Arabidopsis thaliana: one gene and its partners. The protein of the gene in region 3 interacts with the protein of the main gene of each other region in a pairwise test. Each region holds a gene or a part of one and is shown on either strand. Other genes may lie near its edges. The genes, in order: AT1G51930, MAPR2, AT1G44960 and AT5G11680.

Evidence for each region.
Region 1: the proteins of AT1G44960 (region 3) and AT1G51930 interact in a protein complementation assay, tested with the Arabidopsis thaliana proteins (one large-scale study listed by BioGRID).
Region 2: the proteins of AT1G44960 (region 3) and MAPR2 interact in a protein complementation assay, tested with the Arabidopsis thaliana proteins (one large-scale study listed by BioGRID).
Region 4: the proteins of AT1G44960 (region 3) and AT5G11680 interact in a protein complementation assay, tested with the Arabidopsis thaliana proteins (one large-scale study listed by BioGRID).

Annotation. Positions count from the first base shown.
Region 1 is NC_003070.9:19,293,622-19,298,545, reverse strand, and holds AT1G51930 (RING/U-box superfamily protein), read left to right. Parts: upstream 1-3,309; coding exon 3,310-3,708; downstream 3,709-4,924. Other genes in the region: LYK3 (protein kinase family protein / peptidoglycan-binding LysM domain-containing protein), read left to right, coding at 1-175, 255-344, 457-738, 831-976, 1,053-1,142, 1,231-1,336, 1,416-1,567, 1,655-1,752 and 3 more; AT1G51920 (uncharacterized protein), read right to left, coding at 3,967-4,097, 4,212-4,317; AT1G51915 (cryptdin protein-like protein), read right to left, coding at 4,681-4,781, 4,857-4,924.
Region 2 is NC_003071.7:10,606,939-10,611,941, reverse strand, and holds MAPR2 (membrane-associated progesterone binding protein 2), read right to left. Parts: upstream 2,526-5,003; 5' UTR 2,496-2,525; coding exon 2,193-2,495; 3' UTR 2,042-2,192; downstream 1-2,041. Other genes in the region: AT2G24945 (uncharacterized protein), read right to left, coding at 1-360.
Region 3 is NC_003070.9:16,996,271-17,002,879, forward strand, and holds AT1G44960 (SNARE associated Golgi protein family), read left to right. Parts: upstream 1-3,175; 5' UTR 3,176-3,305; coding exon 3,306-3,610; intron 3,611-4,696; coding exon 4,697-5,177; 3' UTR 5,178-5,464; downstream 5,465-6,609. Other genes in the region: AT1G44970 (Peroxidase superfamily protein), read left to right, coding at 5,967-6,236, 6,322-6,513, 6,600-6,609.
Region 4 is NC_003076.8:3,755,887-3,762,576, forward strand, and holds AT5G11680 (classical AGP protein), read left to right. Parts: upstream 1-2,922; 5' UTR 2,923-3,099; intron 3,100-3,506; 5' UTR 3,507-3,576; coding exon 3,577-3,686; intron 3,687-3,920; coding exon 3,921-4,032; intron 4,033-4,158; coding exon 4,159-4,230; intron 4,231-4,321; coding exon 4,322-4,548; intron 4,549-4,645; coding exon 4,646-4,748; 3' UTR 4,749-5,027; downstream 5,028-6,690. Other genes in the region: NADP-ME2 (NADP-malic enzyme 2), read left to right, coding at 1-16, 111-182, 276-359, 460-558, 648-695, 782-835, 931-1,029, 1,114-1,203 and 5 more; TIM17-3 (translocase inner membrane subunit 17-3), read left to right, coding at 5,873-6,274.

The DNA of each region.
Region 1 (4,924 bases), 2.3 Mb from region 3:
TGCTCTAGTGGTCTCTGGAACTATCTTATGAGCTACGTTGCTATGGCTGGAGATAGTGTACAATCTCTCTCGAGCAGATTTGGTGTTAGTATGGATCGAATTGAGGATGTTAATGGGATCTTGAATCTTGATAATATCACAGCTGGTGATCTCCTTTATATCCCACTTGATTCCGGTAAGAAAGTTTCGATTTTTATGCTAAAGTTAGGGTTTTTGAAAAGAATAATTTGATGATTTTGAATTTGTTTATGAAGTACCTGGAGAGCCTTATGAGACAAGTAAGATAAATCCACCAGCTCCTTCTCCTGCGCCTGCATCATCATTAGCTAATGGCAATATCTCAGGTTTGGTTTCTGTTATTATCTTGTTTTGTCTGATCTGAATCTCAAGTTTCTATTTTTAGTATCATGAAACTTAAGTTTAGATGTTTCTGTATTTGTTTCCAAATTTGGAAAGATGACCAGGTGAATCACACTGCAAAGAGTGGTAGTCATGTGCCTTATATATGGATTGTTGGTGGTCTTGGAGTTGTGCTTGCACTTCTTGTTCTGTGCATACTTGTATGTATCTGTTTGAGATCATCTAGTTGCAGTTCCAGTGAGGAAGATGGTAATGGACACAACTTCCAAATCCTTAGAAAATCCGGTTTCTTTTGCGGTTCTGGTCGGTATAACTGCTGTAGATCAGGGGATTTTAGACAAACCAATGGTGAAACTCAAGTTGTTGCTATTCCTAAAGGTTTGGTTTTTGGTTTCATCATCTGTGGTTTCTCTTTTAAAGAGTTTTCTTTTTTAATTGTTTTACGGATTTTTTCTCTTGTATGAATGTAGCTCTTGGTGATGGAATGTTTGAGATAGAGAAGCCTATGGTGTTTACTTATGAAGAAATTCGTGCGGCTACGGATGAGTTTTCGGATTCTAATCTTCTTGGTCATGGAAACTATGGTTCTGTATACTTTGGTCTACTTAGAGAACAGGTTTGTTTTTCATTTCCTTGTTTTGAGTTGTCGTAATGGCTTTACTTGATGTCATATTTGGTTTAACTTATCACAGGAAGTTGCTGTCAAAAGGATGACTGCTACAAAAACTAAAGAGTTTGCAGCAGAGATGAAAGTGCTTTGCAAAGTTCATCATTCCAATCTGGTAAATTCCCTTTGTGTGTATATCTTTTTTATTAGTCTAAAATCATTCGAGATTATGACTCTTATGTTTGCTTTTCGTCTTGTCAAAGGTAGAATTGATTGGTTACGCTGCAACCGTTGACGAGCTTTTCGTAGTTTATGAATATGTCCGAAAGGGAATGCTGAAAAGCCATTTGCATGATCCTCAGAGCAAAGGTAAAGAGACTAATATTAATACCCGACAAGAACTAACAAGAAGATGATATAAATGATATATTTCTTGATGTTATTGAAGGAAATACCCCACTTTCTTGGATAATGAGGAATCAGATTGCACTTGACGCAGCAAGAGGCTTGGAATATATTCATGAGCATACTAAAACTCATTATGTTCACCGAGATATCAAGACAAGCAATATTTTGCTCGACGAGGCATTCAGGGCTAAGGTCTTAGTCTGAACTTATGAAATCCATTACATGTTCTGATTCTTATAGAGGAGAATTTGGTTGATCTTATCTTTGCATTGTGTTTAGATATCGGATTTTGGACTTGCAAAACTCGTTGAGAAAACTGGAGAGGGAGAAATATCAGTAACTAAAGTAGTTGGTACATATGGTTATCTTGCACCAGAGTAAGCATTTGAACACTTGAAGAAGCTACATTGAGTTTTAATACAAGAATACTTTAGTGAATTCTTATCTGTGACTTTTCTGTCTTTTCTTTTGCAGATATCTAAGCGACGGTCTTGCCACCTCGAAAAGTGATATTTACGCCTTTGGTGTTGTTCTTTTCGAAATTATATCCGGAAGAGAAGCTGTTATAAGAACGGAGGCGATTGGAACTAAGAATCCAGAAAGACGTCCATTGGCATCTATTGTAAGTTCTTGGAGTTTGTTTATAAAGATTGAACCATTACACTTCTTTCTTTGATGCAACATTCATTCGCAAAGCCCTTTTTTGTTGTTCTTGCAGATGTTAGCAGTGCTAAAGAACTCACCAGACTCTATGAACATGTCGAGTTTGAAGGAGTTTGTTGACCCCAACATGATGGATTTATACCCGCATGACTGTTTGTTCAAGGTAAACTAAGAAACAAATGCTTAATTAGTAGTTGGAAAAATGTAGTAACCATATGATTTATTTCATTGTAAATGAATTTTGTGGACAGATTGCTACGTTGGCAAAGCAATGTGTGGATGATGATCCGATTCTAAGACCAAACATGAAGCAAGTGGTTATATCGCTCTCGCAGATACTCCTGTCTTCCATTGAATGGGAAGCCACTCTTGCTGGAAACAGCCAAGTCTTTAGTGGTCTAGTCCAAGGAAGATAAAAACAATAAAAACTTAGAACCCTTTCTTTATTTTCAATTTATGAATGTCGCCATTGCCTAGAAGAAGCTTAGTTTGTCTAAACCAAAAGATCGTTCGCAGTCTAACTAAGTAGATAGTTACAGAGACAAATCTCTATATGATTATTCTTTTGGAGAATCAAATGAAGAGATGTATGAGTTTATATGCTTAAGATATGTTGCAATCTTACAAACAAAACATCACTTTATAATCTTACAAATTACAATAGATTGATGATGATGCATGACACAGAACCATATAATTTTTGGACATAATCAATACTTTGTAAGAGAAAGTGTGAAGGTCTGAGAATCTATGAAGACTTAGAGATAGAAGGTCACTGTTGTAATCTTTTTCGATTCCCATACTAACTCTGGTTTTAGCTTATATAATACAAAATCTAAAAGCATAAAAGGCTTAACGTAGTAAGTAATCTTGGCCCAGCATAGGCCCAATAAACCACATTCAGATCGTATCATCATATTCTTATTTTTAATTCAACCAAATTATCTTGTGTTTCAAACCAATATCTCCTTGATATTTTTGTAAATTTTTGTGTGCGCAGATAATGATTTCTCAGTGATGACTATAAACTCTATTTGGCATCAATTAAAAGTTTTGACCAAGGGTTTCAAACTAAACGACGTCGTTAGGGTTCTCTTGGGATGCAAGCATGTGTTTTCACATGATTAATCCAAATAACAAAAGGAAAAAGAAAATAAAACTCAAATCCTAATTCCTAATGGGAAGATTGGTTTTGATATTATAAAGTAAAATAAATCACGTTTTTGATATTTCTTCTGGTAGGAACGAACGAAAACGTAGTATTCGTGAGGATGGATACTATTGACGAAATTCTCATTGGTTTCTCCATCATCGGCTTGATCGTCATCGTGATTGCTAACTGTTGCGACAATATAGATCCCCCTCCCACGAGATTACCTCCCGAGACAATCCATCAAACTGTACAGCCTCAACAAGACATTGAAACCGGACAGAGCAAAGCCCTAGTGTTCAAAGATATCAAAGAAGAAGAAGGAGGAAGAGAAGAAGAAGGTGGTGGTAAACGTTTTTGTCCAATTTGTTTGGAAGAGTACGAGGATGATCATCAGATTAGGCGTTTAAGAAACTGTGGACATGTTTTTCATCTTTTGTGTATTGATTCTTGGCTTACACAGAAACAAAACTGTCCAAGTTGTCGCCGTTCTGTTGATTTGATGAGTTTAGGTCTTTAGACTATTAGGTTTTATTTATTTATCATTACTAAGTGAATATAGTCATATCTTTTGGTTAAGGTATCAATTATATTTACATTAATCAAAGTTTTGGTCAATGGTTGAAAAATCGAACTCAAGTTGACTTTGAAGCTTTTTTTTGTTGTTGTGTTGTTGTTATTAGGACATGTGAACAGAGAAACATGGACTGCAAAAGACTTTTTTTCTTATTCTTATTTTTTTTTTGGGTACCAAGTCAGGCTTTTTTATGTTACATTTTCATGGAGATTGAGAGTGGTGATGAGTTTGAGTGACAATAGGAGATGCACAACATCTGCAGCAACTTCCTAGCGGAGCTGGCTCACAACACACACAAGCAGGGCAAATCGGTCTTCTCGAGCTAATAGGAGCTGATGTGAAATACATACCAAGAAAGATTGATCCATACAGATCACTTTACTAATCTAATATTGGAAACTATTGTAGGTATATATAAAGTTTAGTTTGATGCCTTGAGTTGTTACCTCTTGGGATACGAGTAGCGTTGCTTTGAGACAAGGGAAGAACAAGTAGCAGAAACAAGACAAAGAGCTTCAAGAAGATGGATTTTCCACTGTGAAACGACGCCATTGATGCTTTGGTTTGTTATGCTTTGTGTTCGTAGAGGATTAAGGGTAATCATATTTATATGCGTTTTTAAAGATGACTTTTCCACAGACCATTCTAAGATTCAAAGTCTCTATTTCTGAGTTGAATGAGAATTCAAAGGTTCCTCAAACATTGACCGATCCACTTTAATAATAAGTTTAAAACGAAGCTACAAGGCAAACAAAACATATAGAATACTTTTTTTTTTATCCTATAACAATCAAAGTAGAATGGCCTGAGTGACAAGATTCATACGGAGTCTAATCTTTTGATTGCTTATTCACATGTAAATAAGATCATATTAAACACATGACAAGGTGTTAGACGAAATCAAAGTCGAAGCTTTTAGGGATTTTTGGGGCATCGACATGGGCAGCAAGCACCTCGTGGAGCCGGTGCACAACACACACACGAAGGACACACGCGCCTCAGCATACGCGTTTCAGCTATAAGAAAAAGAAAACAATTCACCTAAGAAAACTGCGATGTATTATATATAAATCCCAAAAAGATTAGCTAACCATCTAGATGCGCTCGAGTTGCTTGACATGGAAGGATTGGAGATAAGACCAAAGCAAGTACGAGAACG
Region 2 (5,003 bases), on a different chromosome or scaffold from region 3:
AATATCTTCTGCTACCAACGTGTAGGTGCTAGAACGATAAGCGACAGAAATGTCTCGCAAGGGAACTTCAAGGGTTTTAGAAGATAGCATGTCCAAACAAGATGCAACAGCAAATCCACAAACACCAAAGAAGCTTTCATTCCCTGCAAATAAAGATTTCCCAACAACAGGGGAACTTGATAGAACATAGATCTCCATAAAGGAGTAACAATGGCAAACAAAGCACAACCACAAACAAAGCATACAATTAGTATCCTTGTGAAGACCAAAAGCAATTGTGAACAAGCGAGAATCACAATTCCAACTCCATGAGTTAGCTGAACATTTACCCATCTCAACTTTAGAGAACCTACAAATCATATAGACATGAAAGAAGGAACTAAAGGAGGCATAGGAGCCATAGGAAAACCTAATAGCTTCAGGAAAAAGGCTGCATACTGCAGTAATAGGTCGCACTATGGCGATAGAAGTGTCACCGGAAGACACACGGATCTAGAAGGTTTATCATAGAAAACACTTGCATATAATTTATAATAAGCCTCAATGACGAGGGAAAGGAGATGGAGGATCCAACAAACAAGGAATACCATGAGGGAGACGATGGAAAATCGCTACAACAACGAGGAGGAGGCTCTGGAGGTACCGGATCTGGAGGCACCGGAGGCTTGGGAGGATCCAGCGATACCCGAAAGAACAGCATCCGGAGGTGAGCGGTGTTCACAGTCCAAACGGAGGAGCTCGACGACGGGAGAGTTGAGAACGAAGCAACCATCAGAGCTGAATTACTAGCCAAAGACTACTCGCAGGCGACAACGGGTTCCGACGAACGACGAGGATCTGACCCGAGAAGGAAGAGCAGAGCGGCTTCAGAAGGAAGAGGATAATTGAGCGGCGGAGCAGCGGCGGCGGAGGTCCATCTTGTCTTGGAGCATGGAGGGGCGGCTTCCTCGGAGATCGTGCCCGGGAGAGAAGACCTAGGGCGAACTCTCTTTGGTTAATATTTAAGATCGCCTCGTTCTTATTGTTTTGCGACTTTGTCAATGACTAGAGAAGCGCAACAACTTTGTATATTTGCTGCTCAGAGCTCTGAGGTATGGATAGCGAATAAGATGGAGAGTACGAAGCCATTTCATAGAGCAAGTTCCTGACAGTGTCGAAATTTGATGACCGCTATCATTTAGGGTTATGTTTTGGGTTGAGTTTCTTAGTCGACATAGAGAACAAAGTTGTAGTGTCTTGTAATCACCCCGGGTTCTCCAACAACGTTTTACAAATTGTGGGAAAGGATAAATACCTACCTGAGGATCAACATGGTGCCGAATCTCCTACCCCTCCACGTCTCCTCATTTATGTTCTAGGTTTGGTTCAAATCCAGCAAGGTAGCTAGTTCTTGGAGGTGGTGGTTTGTGCATTTTTTTATTTAAAATGTCAAAATAATATCTAAGTTAGGATGCCTCTCTCTTGATAAACAAGCATAGCTATAGGCCACAGCCACTACACACGACACAAGTCAACTCGAGCCAAGAACAACTCTACCCATGAACAGCTCTCCCTCAAACCTAAGACTTGGCGTTAAAGCAACATATTAGTCGCAAGAACGCCATGCCGAACAGGGCCGAAGTCATACAAGTGATGATAATAATTTAGACCGGGAGAAGTAAGAAAGAATCAAAGAAGACACACATTAGCTTCTATGAATTCTGAATGTTCATCATAACTATATTCTTCCAAATCTCATAACGCAAAAGACTAAAATTAACAACAACTTGGAACTTGTAAGATAATTTACACCGAATCCAAAACTACCAGTAAGTTTGGTGTTGCTCAGATTTCAGAAACCATCAGTTTTTCTTTCACCAGACACAATTAGCTCCAAGTATTTGCAAGATATGAAAGACACAAACCAATCTTTATATCCTCTCATCAAATACATATGAGACTTAAAACTCCTAAAATCCTAATCATCACAACAAAGTAACCTTTTTTTTTTGGTAAGCACAACAAAGTAACCTTAAGATCAGAATATGAAGACCACTGAGAACACGAAATCCCCGATTTATTTCATAGATAATTTGGTACTTATGGTAATTGTATCAAAACGATCAGATCCAAACACGAAATCAGAAAACACACAACACAAAGATCCTCACACACAATAGTTACATAACATAGTGCAATCTCAGAAGAGAGACCTAAGAGACAACACGGCCAACGACAGGATACTTAGCTTCAAATTTGGTCTCCCAATCATTAAGAGTATTGATCTCTTTCTCAGTGAGACCTTCAAGAGAAGGAGACACATCTTCTTCGTTCTTACTCATCTTACCCAAAGCTCTGCTCGCGTCTTTTCCGGCGAACATCGAGTAATCGCCTCCGGAGCCGTAGAAGGATTTTCCGGTGGTGACATCGAACACACGGCCTTTGATTGCGACGTAGATCGGCTTTGATTCGTCGGTGCCGTTGTATTGGCTTAGCTGCTCTGCGGTGAATTCCATCTTTTTCTTTAAAGCTCTGATCAATTGTTTCTGGAAAGAACCAAATAAAAGATAGTGAGAGATATATAACAGAGGATTTTTTTAAAAAAATTATAACTGAATAACTTTTTTTTAATAAGTGGAACAACTTTTTTTGTGTCGGTAATAAGTGGAGTAAACTTTATTCTTCAGATTTTTACAAGGAATATCAAAAAATATTTTATTTTTCTCTAATTAAAGTCGATAAAAATTCCAGAAATGCTTAATCTTTCAAGGAGCTTAATTTAAGCTGCTTAAACAACTTCGTCGGGTTTAAAGGACGGCTTTGGGAAAAGACAATTTAATTTGAACTAATTCCTAAGATAGAACACATTTGTATGTTTATTCCTACAGTAGAACACATCTTTTTTTTATTACTCAGATGTTTTCAGTTATTGTGTAATTACAATTAACACCCCTAATTAGTTTTAATTAATTATTATTATTTAATTCGTTTTTAACTAAAAATTAAATGAAAAAACAGTGATTATACATGTCATTATTCCATGTCATTACCATAATCCACGTCATTAATTATCTCCAAACTCCATAACGTTTGGGTTTCTTATTTCTTAGCTTTACTGTTCATCATCTCCCAAAAAAAAAAAAAACTGTCGCTTTCTTCCACTTTCTCTCTCGACGGAACGAAATCGATTTCTTTCGCCGTTTTGCTCTTTTCTCGTCTGTTCCGGCCGAAATTCAGACGCCGGAGTCGCATTTACGTAAGCGCGAAGTCACATTCGACATCTAAGTTCCGGTGAGTATCTTTCAATGAAGTAAGACTCTGACATCTAAGTTCAATCTCAAGTGATTCCCGTCACTGAAATCGTTTTCCGATGCGTAACGATGGTTTTTAAAGCTGGGTTTTAACGTCGACGTTGATTGACATATGGTGGCCGATTTCTTAGATCTATTTGATTTGACGGCTGAGTTACTGTTTGTTTGCCGACTGATTTATGATTTATCAATTCATCCGTGTCTGAGTTTTTTTTATGCTGTGACTGAGTTATGGTTTAACCTTACATCGATGTCTGAGTTTCTGTTATATGACGGCTGAGTTTGTTTATGTTATGGCTGAGTTTCTGTTTTGATATAGCTGAGTCTGGTTTATGTTTTAACTGAGCTGTTGTTATGTTATGGTTTGACTGAGTTTCTGTTAAAATATGGCTGAGTTAGATTTATCTTATGGCTGAGTTATGTTATGTGTGGCTGAGATAGGTTTATGTTATGACTGAGTTATGTTATCTATGGCTGAGATAGGTTTATGTTATGACTGAGTTATGTTATCTATGGCTGAGTTAGATTTATGTTTTGCCTGAGTTATGGTATCTGTGGATGAGTTTGTTTTATGTTATGACTGAGTTATGGAATGCTTACGGCTGATTTATGGTTATACAGATGTCTGAAGACCAAGCAAGGGAGTACCCTCCAAGACTTTACCAAGAGGGGGATTCTAATCTGGAGGGTAAAGGCATTAATCATAATATAAAGCTGGGAGAGTTCCCTGCAATTAGAGAATCAATAGGAGAAGAAATATGGGCAGAACTGAAAGAGACAGAGCTTGGATTAATTGCTAAGCTTGTTGATAGTCATTTTCTCTGGTCTGGTAAGACCGTACATTATCTACTATGCAGACAGCTGAGAATACTGAAGAAGGAGCTTTGGTGTATCGTGGCTGGTAAACCCATCCGGTTTGGATTGAACGAATTTCATCATATCACTGGTTTAAATATAGATGATCTGCCTACAGAAAAGTTTGAGCCTGAAGCTGACTACAAAGCGTTCTTCAGTGAATTGCGTGTGCCAACCGGTGAAGGTCCTAATCTAGATGAACTTAGGCAGGGCTTAGTAACGTGCAGAGCTTGGCCTACTGAAAAACGTAGATGGTTTGGGTTATTGACTCTTCTATCCATTGGACTTTTTGGCTTGCATACTAACTCTAGGATACCATTTGAGAGTGCCAAAAGAGTTTTCGACGACGAAGCCATGAAGACTTATCCATGGGGTCGGGCAGCATATGAAGCCCTTGTCGTTTCTATAAAGTTGCTGAGGCCTATTGGCAAGACGTACACTGTCAGTGGTCTGGTTTTCGTGTTGCAGGCTTGGGCGTATGAGTCAATCATCACCATCGCTGAGCGTTTTGGGAACGCTGTTAACGCGGATGAGATTCCGTTGCTTAGATGGGGTGGCAGCCGTACCCGTTCAACTATAGAATCGGTCATTGCTGAAGATATCAAAGCGAATGGTGGTGAGGTACGGTTTCGGCTCTGTTATGTTCTGTTTTTTATCAAATATTTATGTTACGGCTGAGTTAATGTTTTATTTTTCTCTGTGAAGGCTGAGTTATATTCTTTTTTTTTGGCAAATATGTTATGTGACGACTGAATTATGTTCTATAATGGCTGAGTTATATTAAGTGACGACTGAGTTATATTAAGTGATGGCTGAGTTAAACATACTGATGGGTTTTATTATCTCTCCTGTTGTAGC
Region 3 (6,609 bases):
GCCCAAAATTATTTTTATAAATCCAAAAATATCAAGTACTATAAATAGATCAAAATTACTAAAATACCAAAAATAACCAAAAATCGAAAAATTAAACAAAATTTTATCAAAATCTAACCAATTTTTTCATTATTTCGGTACCCGAATCGAAGTAGCCAAAACCAAACGTGGCACGCCTATGCCACCAGGCCTAAACTATAAAACCCAAAAAACTAGAATCGAACCTGAACTAGTACCCGAACGCCTGAACTAGTACTCGAACGCCTAGGCCTAACAATGTATACGTAAAAATATAAAACTTTATCACATTTCCCGATTTTCATTAATTGTATAATAATTCATTATATAGGGGTGTAACACTTTAGCTAGAGATATTCCAAAAATAAGTCACTCGGGATTAGAAGTGGGCGTTTGGATACCCATTCGTTAGGGTATTTCTAAATTTTGGGTTTGGATCGGGGTCAAGTCCGATATTTTGGGTTCGGAAACTGGTTACCCGAAGTTCTCAAAAATCAAAATTTTAAAACCAAATATATCCAAACTACTCGAAAATACAGAAAATAACTAAAAACCTTGAACACTTTTGTATTCAAATTTACTCAAAAGTAGATTAAATACCTAAAATTATTTTAAGTATCTGAAAATCTAAATATTTTGACGCTTAGATTATTGCAAATATAAATATTAATACGATCAAATGATTCTTCAACTTTTTTTGTTAATCTCCTCATTACTTTTAACAACAAGTCAAGAAATTGCTCGATTTGTTTTGCAATTTCTTGACTTGTCATCACATGTCTCCACAGTTCTCACATGTCATCACACTACTTAGTGTACCACAAAAAATCTGGTAAACCATACTATCATAAGAGGAACCAGGAGAATGGAGACATTTGTCCATGCATCTAGCAAATTAACCAGATACTCATGTTCATCTTCATGTGCCTCATATTCGTGTATTTTTAATACGCGTAGTTAAGCAATATATGATAAGCTAGAATTATAGTTTATTTTACTATATTAATTTTGACTCCACACAATGCGTGGAATACCCCCTAGTAAACTATAAAAAAAAATATGAATAGAAAGACGTAAATCTTTTTGACCTTGAATAAATAAGAAGCTTAACTTAACAAGCATCCAAAATGTATTTTTGTAATCCGTTTAATTTTATCAGAAATATTAAATTTTAAAATTTTATGATTGTGTATCATATTTAAACTAGATTTTAATCCGCGGTATATCGCGGGACGATTTATTTTTTAAAAGTAAGATATATTGAAACTTGCAAATTTTATTCTTATAAAATATTTATATTTTACAGTTTATAATTGTTACCACAATTTTTAGCTTAAAGTTTTATATTTTATAGTTTAATTTTATATATACTAACATTATACATACCACATAACATTTTTGGTTTTATATAATCTTTTCTAAATTAGGATGATTTGATATGTTTAATATTAATGGTCTTAAAAAATAATAAATTAAAGATTTAACCCGTATTGAAACGGTGATTTAATTATATTTTACTTTTTTTATTAATGTTGATTCAAAAACCCGTCCCTCCAAATCCATCTTGCCAAAAAGCCATTTATTTTATTAATATTAATTTTATTTATGATATGACTCTAAATTATAATCTAAACATTTTAGCTAATAACATAGAAGTGCACCATATTTATTTAATAGGGGAATGTACCATATGACCCGAATGCACTTTTACCCAAATCCACCAAAAAAGTCTTGCAAAAATACTATAGAGATAAGAAACGATAGTCGGTTTTGATAGGTATAAGATTAGCAAATATATTAGTTAGCTTAAATTAGTTAAAGAATACAAATTAAAAAGATATATTACACTTTATTCGAATATAGTATAAAAACTTATATAACACAGAGATTTGATAATTTTTTAATTGTTGAATACTTTTTTGTGCTAATTTTTATGTGATTAAGATTTAGTTGATTTCGTATATAAAATATTAAATTGTTTTACGAACTTATTTGTTTATAATTTGGTAACAGATAGATATTTGAATATTCAGTATATTTTGCTTAAGTTTAGGAAATCTTTGATGACCCGTCTTTAAATCAAATAAGCCCTATAATTAAGAGATGAACTAGGATTTAACCCGCGGTTTACCGCGGGCAATCGGTTTATTTGGTTCTTATACTAAATATTTGAATAAATTTGATATCCTAAACTTATAAATATAAATTTTTTAATCAGACATAACTAAATAATAATTGAGATTTTTTTTTGGTTGTTATTTAGTGATAAGAAGAATGTGTTAAAATGTGTTTAATTTTTCTTTTGTTATTTACTTATTTTTGTTGAACGGATTAGATTGAAGTGAATTAAAATTATTGAACGGTTTAGATTGAATCGGATCATATCAAGTTTAGGAGATTGTTAAGACCAAATTACCCTTAATGATTTTGAATAGCAAAGAACAAAATCCAAAATTGAAATCAAAATTGAGGCCAAATTAGACAAAATTTCAATTTGTACTTCCCTTTTAATAATAAGAGGATATTGTCGTTAAAAGATTTTGGTAATTAATGACGTCATTAAAGGATTTTGTTTTTGATTAAATTTTTCTAATGGCATTGTCATGTAATTAACTACAAAAATTAAGGTTAAATTTAAAATGTACTTCCCAAATAATATAGTAGGATACTTGTAATTTGTATCATTTATATGATATTTATATTTATATTTATATTTTATAATTGTCATTAAGTAACGATATACCACATAAGAAGTTTGTTTTGTACAATCTTATATTAATTAGACAGATGTTATATGTCTAACACTAGTGATATTAATAAATAATAAAATAAGAATTTCATCTGTATTAAAGTAGTAGGTTAATGATGTTTTATTTACTTATTAATATTGTTTCAAATCCGTTCCGCCATATAACTCCGTCTCGGAATATAACTCATCGCATATTATTTTAATTTTCCTAATATTATAAACTTTTATTGATTTTAAATACATCAATCATAATATTAATAATAATTTAAATGAAAAATTATAGAAAATAAATCGTGATTGTCAAGTTTTCACTTTTGATAATTTTTTCTTGTAATTAGTCAATTAGTGTTATATTGTGGAGAGTTGAATAGTCTCATTTTGCAATTTTAGAAGATCAAGGGTATATTTCCAAAACATTGCAGTTTTGAGGATTCAACTTGCAATTTACCCTTTTCAAAAATCACTTTCGACAATTACCAAAAACCAGTTCCCCCATTTCATTTCACGCTTTCTTCTCTTCTCATCTCAGAGCTCCGTGATGAAGAAATGGTTAGCAATCGCAGCGACGGTGGCGATAATTGCAATAATCGTTAGACAAGGCACGACACAATACGGATGGAACAAAGAGGCGGCGTTGGAAAAGCTAAAGGAATGGTCAGATCGGCTGGGGATTTGGGCGATTCCAACGTATGTAGCGGTTCACACAATAACCTTAGCTCTTTGTCTCCCTCACGCCGTCTTCTTTGAAGCTGGTGCTTCTATGCTCTTTGGTTTCCTTCCTGCTCTTCTCTGTGTTTTCTCTGCTAAAGTTCTCGCCGCTTCTTTCTCCTTCTGGATCGGCAGGTCTGCTTCTCAATTGCACTGTTATGTGATTCAAATTGATCTGTTGGATCGTTAGTTTGTGTCGCTAATGTACGAATTTGATCGAAATGATTTGGATTTAGAACAATGATTCTCACATGGCTTATCTTGGCTTCGTAGAAAGTATATGATTCATTAGTAATACACTCTGGTTTAGTTTATGTTATCGTGTTTTGTGAATGCTTAAGGTTTTACTTGGAGATGGTTTAGATTTTTCTTTAGTGCACCATTGTTGAAACCTTTTGCAGAACGTTTATTGAAATCCATTAAATTGTAAGCATGAATGATAGGAAGGGAATGTTTGTGTGAAGAAATGGTGTCATTGTTGGTTATTCAGCGGTAAGATAACACCGTTGTTCACCAAAAAGGCGGAGAAGATGCATGATATTTTCTTGCGAGATTTAGATGGATGTCTTCAGATTCTATAATGGTGTTTGGATAAGAGTGGTTGTTGTCTTGTGTATGTGACGGAGATGTAAAGAACCGTTAGATGCTTGTCATTTGCTTGTTAATATATGCTAGGGAATGATTTGCAATATTCACATTTATGCTGGATTTTTACATGGCTTCATAGAAACTATATGCTTCATTAGTAACACTCTGATTTAGTTTAAGTTATCGATTTCTGAGATTTTACTTGGAGATGTAGAATAAACTCTTTTGTTGGTTTTGATTGTCCTGCTATCGCTGAAACCTCCGTATACAGAAGTTTTCACGAAAATCCATTCTACTCTAAGCATTATAGGAAGTGGATCTTTGTGTAAAGAAATGATGTCATTTTGGCTGTTCAGAGGAAAACTAACACCGTTATTCGCCAAAAAGGCGGAGAAGATGCATGTCTTCCTATTCTATAATGGTGTGTGGATGAGATTGGTTGTTTTCTTGTGTATGTGATGGATATGTATGGACTAATTGTTAAATGCATGCTGTGATTCTAATTGCCAATTAATATATGTAGGAGAATGCAACTAGGATGTTGATTAACCTTAGCAATGTGATATGCAGTTTTATTTATTTATCTATCTATTGGGAGCACTTGCATTCTCTCATACTTTTTTGAATTTTCAGGTTTGTTTTTAAGAGTTCCACCAGAGCTACAGGGTGGGCGCATAGCAACAAGTACTTCAATATTCTCTCAAGAGGAGTTGAGCGCGATGGTTGGAAGTTTGTTCTTCTTGCAAGGTTCTCGCCCATTCCTTCCTATGTCATAAACTACGCTTTGGCAGCTACTGAAGTCCGGTTTGTAGCTGATTTTCTGTTCCCCACGGTTATTGGCTGCCTCCCGATGATCCTGCAGAACGCATCAGTCGGTAGCCTCGCTGGTATGGCTGTGGCTTCAGTAGCTGGAAAACAGAAAAGTCAGGTCTGGGGTTATGTTTTCCCAGTACTTGGGATACTGTCAAGTGTTCTGATTTCATTGAGGATCAAAAAGTACTCAGCTGGAATTACAGAGGCATCATCAGATACCTCTGCTAACAACTCTAGTTTAGCTTCATCTGAAACTGCGAATCCCGCTTATGGAACCGATGGATCCAAGAAAAGTGAGTGATTATACAAACCATGATGGTGGTTTTTGATCGCCGGTATTACACTTTGTTTGGTTTGCAGCTATCAGATTCTCAACATCATGGCTTATTTTGGACGAGTTAGGCAGTATCTTAATAGTAACAAAGCATTAGTTTTTGTACTTCTTAAGTTAAAAGCTTAGAACAAAACAACAGTGTTATTTTCTATACCAGACACAAAAACTGTGTCGTTGTAATAACACTTACCATAACATTTTCTTTCAGTGTATGTTTAAAGCCGTTTATATGGTTGAAGCAATGTGACTAAAATTTTTGTAGCATTGAAACAAGCTATATTTGCATTGCTATGGTCTTGTTTTGTGACTAAAAGACTTGGATGCAGAATGGATATAAGTTAAATGTCTGATTTTGTAAATAACTTATGAAGAGAAAATCTTTATTCGGTAAGAGTTGTTTTCTCAATGTAGCAGTTCACTCATCATTTTCAAACTTCAACTCTCAGAGAACACAAAGAGGTTAGACAGTGCAGATGCTTATGGTTGAGAAGCTTTACCTAACAATGGTACAAGGCGGTTTTGTTGGGATCACATGTGAAGTTAGGCACATGGATTCGTTCTTGGAGTTGGTACAAGGACTTCTAAAAGACAACAATGAGGTATAATAAGGACAAGTTGACTATGTCTCTCTCTTTTATCTTAACATTCTAAATTAGGATTTGGTAAACTGAGAGCAGTTAGCTTCTTGAATCTCTAAAGTATAAAAACCCTCACCGTTTTACTACTATCTCATCTTAAAACTCCCAAGTAACAAAAATGGCTATCTCAAAGCTTATTCCTACTCTTGTGCTCTTTGTTTTGTTCTCTTTTGATGTTAGTGTTGCTCATCCAGGTCTAGGATTTGGATGGGGAAGTAATAGTCCCATTGGAGGATCTTTTTACTCAAATCTTTACCCACAATTTTACCAGTTCTCTTGTCCACAAGCTGATGAGATTGTTATGACGGTGCTCGAAAAAGCCATAGCTAAAGAACCAAGAATGGCAGCATCTTTACTCAGACTTCACTTCCACGACTGCTTCGTTCAGGTAAAAGTATCTTTACCTATTTTTGTTTTCCCTTTATGTGTCTCTTAAGCTTAACACTTATACACTACACTCTGTGTGTAAACAGGGCTGTGATGCATCAATCTTGTTGGATGATAGTGCAACCATAAGAAGTGAAAAGAATGCTGGACCAAACAAGAACTCCGTTAGAGGGTTTCAAGTAATCGACGAGATCAAAGCCAAACTTGAGCAAGCTTGTCCTCAAACTGTCTCCTGCGCCGACATTCTAGCTCTAGCTGCTCGTGGCTCAACTATACTGGTAAAATTAAGAGACCTTCAAGAGAAACTATTGGCTCAGTTACAAGTTATATAGCTTATATTTATCGAATTTGTGGTTCAATGCAGAGTGGTGGAC
Region 4 (6,690 bases), on a different chromosome or scaffold from region 3:
AAGAGCAACTGGCCAGGTTTACTAATCAATTCCTATCAGTGTTTTCTCTTCTTATAGCAAATACTATGATTTTTCAAAAACTGAGAAGTCTATTTGCTTTTGTGATTCAGGAATATGCTGAATTCCTGCACGAATTCATGTGCGCTGTAAAGCAGAACTATGGAGAGAAAGTGTTGGTTCAGGTGAGCCATAGGATACTCTCTTAAGAACTATGATTGTTGTCAGAACTACGATAAAAGATGTCCGGAATTAATATCATACACTCATCTTTTCAGTTTGAAGATTTTGCAAACCACAATGCGTTTGACCTTTTGTCTAAGTACAGTGATAGCCATCTTGTCTTCAATGACGATATCCAGGTAGCATCTTCTCCTCAAGATTGATCTTTTTTTTCTTAAATTTTTGGTTGTGATGTCAGAGTGCTTACCAAGAACTTGATTTTGTTTTCTGTAATTGCAGGGTACTGCATCCGTGGTGCTTGCTGGGCTTATTGCCGCTCAGAAGGTGCTTGGTAAAAAACTGGCTGACCATACCTTCCTGTTCTTGGGTGCCGGAGAGGTGAGACCAGAAAGCATTATACTCTATAAGCTTATAATTCTTACATTTATTTTTTGCTGCTTACACTTTATCTCGCTGATTCTTTGAAGGCTGGAACCGGTATCGCTGAGCTAATTGCTCTTAAGATTTCGAAAGAGGTTAGTCAATCTGGGAGTTTTCTTGCATTTGATCTGTTTTTTGGCTAAGAGTATGTGATTGATCATATCTGTTTTTTTTTTTGTAGACTGGAGCTCCCATCACTGAGACCCGGAAGAAGATTTGGCTTGTGGACTCCAAGGTATTGTTAGGCGCCAACCACCAAGATCAGTCTCATCTTTTTTAGCTATACCGTTCTTGTTCATATATGTTTCTCTTTTGAACATTATTTTGCAGGGACTGATTGTTAGCTCACGCAAAGAATCTCTTCAGCACTTCAAGCAGCCATGGGCACATGAGCACAAACCTGTGAAGGACCTCATTGGTGCTGTTAATGTACGTGATGAACTGATCTTTAAATTGCTTGATAGTGAATAGAGAATCTTTTTGTTCACTGTTTGTTGAAACTTTTTCAAACAGGCAATCAAGCCAACCGTTCTCATTGGAACATCCGGTGTGGGTCAGACTTTCACAAAAGAAGTTGTCGAGGCCATGGCTACCAACAACGAGGTTTCTTCTTGTTCTTACTCTCTGCTTTTTCAGAAAACAAGGTATTTATGCTATTTTTCTAATGCTGGTCTTGGTGTTGGCTTATAGAAACCGTTGATTCTTGCTCTCTCAAACCCTACTTCTCAAGCTGAGTGTACTGCTGAACAGGCTTACACATGGACCAAGGTATAATATTGTCTCATATGACATCTAAATGTGATTCATGTCCTCACTCCTGATTATACAACAAAATTATAATTTGGTTTTCATGCTGCTCCTCGAATCTAATCATATATTGTGCTTAAAAAAAGGGTCGTGCAATCTTTGGAAGTGGAAGCCCATTTGATCCTGTTGTGTACGATGGCAAAACCTACTTGCCTGGCCAGGTTCGTGCTATTTCAACAACTTCTTCTCTCTCAACTTTGTACATCTGACAATCTTAGAGCTCACATCATATTTCCACTATCCTACTTAACTTCAGGCAAACAATTGCTACATTTTCCCTGGTCTGGGTCTTGGTTTGATCATGTCTGGGGCAATTCGTGTCCGTGATGACATGCTCCTCGCAGCTTGTAAGTAAAAATAAACTTCAGAAAATCAAACATGGATACTGATAAAGACACTTAAAGATTCTCAATGTCATCTCTCTCTCATGTTTTCAACAGCTGAAGCATTGGCCGCACAAGTGACAGAAGAGCATTACGCCAATGGTCTGATCTACCCGCCATTCTCAAACATCAGAGAGATCTCTGCTAACATTGCAGCCTGTGTCGCCGCCAAAACCTATGACCTCGGTTAGTTGAATGAAACTGTCTTAACTCTTTTAATGAGACTGTCTGAACTCTCTAATCTCAAGTTCTAAAATCGATGTATTGTGGTGTAGGATTGGCGTCGAACCTGCCACGTGCAAAGGATCTTGTCAAGTTTGCAGAGAGCAGCATGTACAGCCCTGTGTACAGAAACTACCGTTAAAAAAGTTTTGTTGAAGAAACCTGCAGATTATACTATTCACAACCCTTGATAGTTTCTTAAGGCTTGTATTTAAGTTTTTTGTTTGTTTGTTTGTTGTTTGTTTTCTCTTCTACATTATGATGCTGTTTGTGAACTCTCTCTCTGTCTTTGCTGATAAATAATAAATTGTTACTAATATAATCTACAAATCATTATTGTCTCAAAGTTACACTTTCCATCCCACATCACAAAATCGATCAACTTGTCTTGGAAGGGAATAATATGCTTTTTTCTGCCACTTGTTGTATCTTATTGGTTGTTTTATTAAAATGGTATAATTGTTGCAGAATTAAAGAACTTGTATCATTATTTTGAAGAGTTTATCAAAAGTTTCATATAGATAATAGGACTATAGAAGCATAGCTGAATACTCTTTTGAAAGTGGTTTCTAAATTGTACTGAGCAAAATGTTCTAAAAACAACAAAACTCCTAATCTTAAGCTAATGATTTTGGCATTTTAGGTAACTACTTGTTATAAATAGCTAAAACAATAACAAGAATCTCTAAAACTCGTCTTCACGTTTTGGTTAAAATCGAAAGCTCAAACAATCCAAACCAAAACTAAACCGAAACAAGATGTCAAAAAAATAAATAAACACCTAAACCGAAACCAAAGTTAAAACAACTGAAAATGGGCTGAACGGTCCCTTTAATCTGAGATGTAATAAGGCCCAAATAGTAACTGTAGATGGGGACAATTGTAACGAAATCAAATTGCGGGCGAAAATCGAACTAAAGAAATAAGTAGAGGGACGAATAAAATGGTTAGAAGGTTTTAAGAATAAACCGCGTCGCGTCTCTTTTCTGGAAAAAACGAGAAACTGTGATCTTGGCCCTTTTATTACCCCTATCCTCTTCTTCTTCAATCTCTCCGATCAAAATCCTTTTAAGCTCTGTAGACCCAGGTATGTTCCTTCAGCTTTTCTATTCGCGAGAAAATTACGAGTAAAGGATTGCTTGAAATTGAACTTGGATCGTTCTGTTACTGCTTTCTTATTGCTATCAGATTTTGATTCTCTAAGGAATTAGATATTTTCTTTGTTGATTGATTTGTTTTGAACACGTATTATTAATCCTAGTCTTTGTTTCTACATTATAGGAACGTTTCGATTTGAATTAGCTAAAAACCTCAATTTTATTTGCTCTTTTGCATATCTGAAATTGGAAGCTGATGATATGTGGATGTTAATTGGCTCTAGTTACTTGGATCTGTGAATAATTATTTGCTAATTTGGAGCATGTTCCTTTGAATTATCTTCTGATTGTCTAAGTATATTTGGAAATGTGTTTATATTCTCATTTGTGTGATCAGGTTACGCAGAGAAGAAGAACAGAACAAGGAATTATATAATCATTGGCTTGATCAATCTGAATTGCAGTTCATGGCGCTAAACCCTCAATTACTACCCAATGGGATGCCTGTTCCCTTTGTTAATGAAATGTTCGTCCTAGTCCGAGATGGTGTTGAGTTTGAAGTCGACAAGATCCCTGGGTTCGTGTTCCCTTCTCTCGTCACGCATGTTTTGGATCTCCTTAAGTGGTTTATTGATTTGATGATTATTGTTGGTCTCCATTTTAGTACCGTTTTGAGTCGGTTTAGATCCACTCATCTAGCATATGAACCATTAAGTTTACTTGTAAATAAGATAAGTCTCAGAAGTGAACAGACATATGAGCTCTGGGCTTTAAACACTTCCCTGATGTTCTTTCTTGTTGTATGATCCAGAGGGCATGGAGGTCATGTTAAGGCCAAGGGGGTGATTTACTTGTCTAATATACGGATGGTCTTTGTTTCAAGCAAGCCTGTTGACAACTTTGTTGCTTTTGACATGCCCCTGGTACAGTAACTTTATCTTATTTTTGTCTCTGATTTAGTTAATACATGGCACAAGTGTAGCTCTGTTAAATTTGGTTATGGAACTACATGCTACATATTAGCTTATGGATTATATGTTACTCTGTAGCTTTACATCCATGCCGAGAAATTTAATCAGCCAATATTTCACTGCAACAATATTGCTGGACAAGTGGAGCCTGTAAGTACAAACTTTCATGGAGAATTTATAGTTTCTTTCCTTGTAAGGAAACTATACATATTTACTTATTGGCATGTAACAAAATTTCCAGGTGGTGCCAGAAAATGAGCATAGAGCTCTATATTCAACACACAGTTTCAAGATCCTATTTAAGGAAGGTGGTTGTGGGACATTTGTTCCTCTCTTCTTGAATCTCATATCATCAGTGAGACAATACAACAGACAAATGCAACAAGCAGCAGAAGCAGCAGCGGCAGCTCCTCATGTTGATCCTCTTCAAGCCGCTCAGACACCTGTGGACGAAATGATGAGACATGCGTAAGTCCCATCAGAAATCAATCGGAAAGTTTTTTGATAGTAGTAAAAGCTGTTGTTCCTCATAAAATCTTGTGTGGTCGTCATTGTGTATGTGCAGGTACGTGGACCCTAATGATCCAACGAGGATATATCTGCAACAGCCATCAGGGGAATCTCAGTTGAGGCGTAGAGCTTACCATTCGGGTGCGGCGGAACATTGAGATACACGGAAAAAAAAAATACAAAGGCTATGAATACAGAAACAGCAACAGATTAGTGTTGCTAATAAGCAAAACGTGTTGTTTGTTTGTTTAAAGTTGAAAACTAAAAGTCTAAAACCATCTGTGTAAAGAAAGATGAGACTTGTTTGGTGTGTGGATGTATCTGGTAAAATTGGAGTCGTAATAATCATAAGTTTGGTTCATATATTGAACAAAATGTGGGTCGAAAACCCTGCCGGTTCGCCTGAACCATGAAAAGTCGGATTTGGCTGATCCGCACGCTCAATTTTCTTCAGCTAAATCGCGAATACTTGAGCTTGTAGTAAGTCGTGGCCACTAGTGGGACACACAAAACCACAAAACATATATTTTGCAAGCTAAAACCCAATGGACTAAGATTTGAGGTTCAGGGTTGGACCATAAAATTTGGAATGGATAATCGGATACTTTAGGTTGGGTTGGTAGTTTTCAATATTGAAATTGGGTTTTTGGACCTTTCCTTAGTTTTTGATTTAAAACAAAATTGTAAAAGAAAATGAAAATACGAAGGTGGCATTCTAGCTTTATTTTCCAGAGAAAGTGGCTTTCCAGCCATTTATTAAAAAAAACAAAGACCAGGGTGTTTTTTTTCTGACAAAACAAATTGTAACACTCACTAGGCATAGCATTCTAGTTAGTTCTGCAGAAATTTATAGCGACACTGGTCCAAATTAGGAGGAGCGAGAGCGAAGGTACGAGTGAGGATTTACAATTGTCGATCGTTTTCACCTAGAAACCCTAATTTCGGGGGCTCGCACGCCCTCTCTGATTAGAAGCGACTTCATTATCGGTCACTAGAATCTGCTGCTTCTTTTCTGGTTAGTGTTTAACCAAGCTCCGTTTTGTTTGCTCTTAATGGAATCAGAATTTCTATCATTCCTAGATTAGTTTCTGTGATGTATATCTCTGGTATTCGGATTCTTGTGCTGAGCTCAATTCATAAGCGGAGGATTTCTTAGCTTCGATAATTAGCCCTTTTCAAAATTTGCAGCTTTTTATGCGGTTTGTTCTTAAGATGATTGGTTCATTCAGTTTTGTTGTGAGATCTCTGACCTTCCTCTGTAGAAACTAGCATTGTCAGGAACATGGACACTAAGAAGAAATCTAAGGAACATGGCCTATACCGTATAGTCAATGCTATCGGTTATGCATTTGGAGCGGGAGCTGTTGGAGGTTCTGTATATCATTTCGTGAGAGGGGCATACAATTCCCCAATAGGTGCTCGATATGTTGGAGGAACACAAGCGGCTAGCATGAATGCTCCTCGCTTGGGAGGCACTTTTGCTGTATTTGGAGGATTGCTCTCAACATTTGACTATGCATTGGTGCGCATCAGGAAGAAGGAAGATCCATGGAACTCCATCGTAGCGGGTGCTGCTACAGGTGGAGTTCTGTCTATCCGAAAAGGGGTTGTTGCAGCTTCAACATCAGCGGTTATGTTTGGTTTTTTTTTGGCTGTACTCAACCCTCCGTTCGGGAGCAAGTAAGCTTTTTGGGTTGTCTTTGATGAGAATGTCATTTAGACTTTCATGATAATTGCCTTTTCGTTATCAATTCTTCAAAATTACTGTTTCATGGAAAGTTTAACAGATTTCGTGGTTGAGAATTTCTGATCATTTTTGTATAAACGTCATCAAGAACTAATTATTGCTATTCAAGTGTTCCTTTTTGAATAGTTTCTTTTAAGTAGATGAAATCTCAGGGGAAAAACATTTGGGAAGGGGAAGATGAGGGAATGAGTCAAAGATATTATTGAGCTCGACAGTCAAAAGTTAAATTATTCCCTGATTTTGATCATTCTGAAAAAAACTCCTTAGTTAAGTCCCAACTAGTGCACACACCAAATCAAGAACCAAATCCATTTCTTGTCAATAATATACACCAAAAAACAACTCAGGTGTAC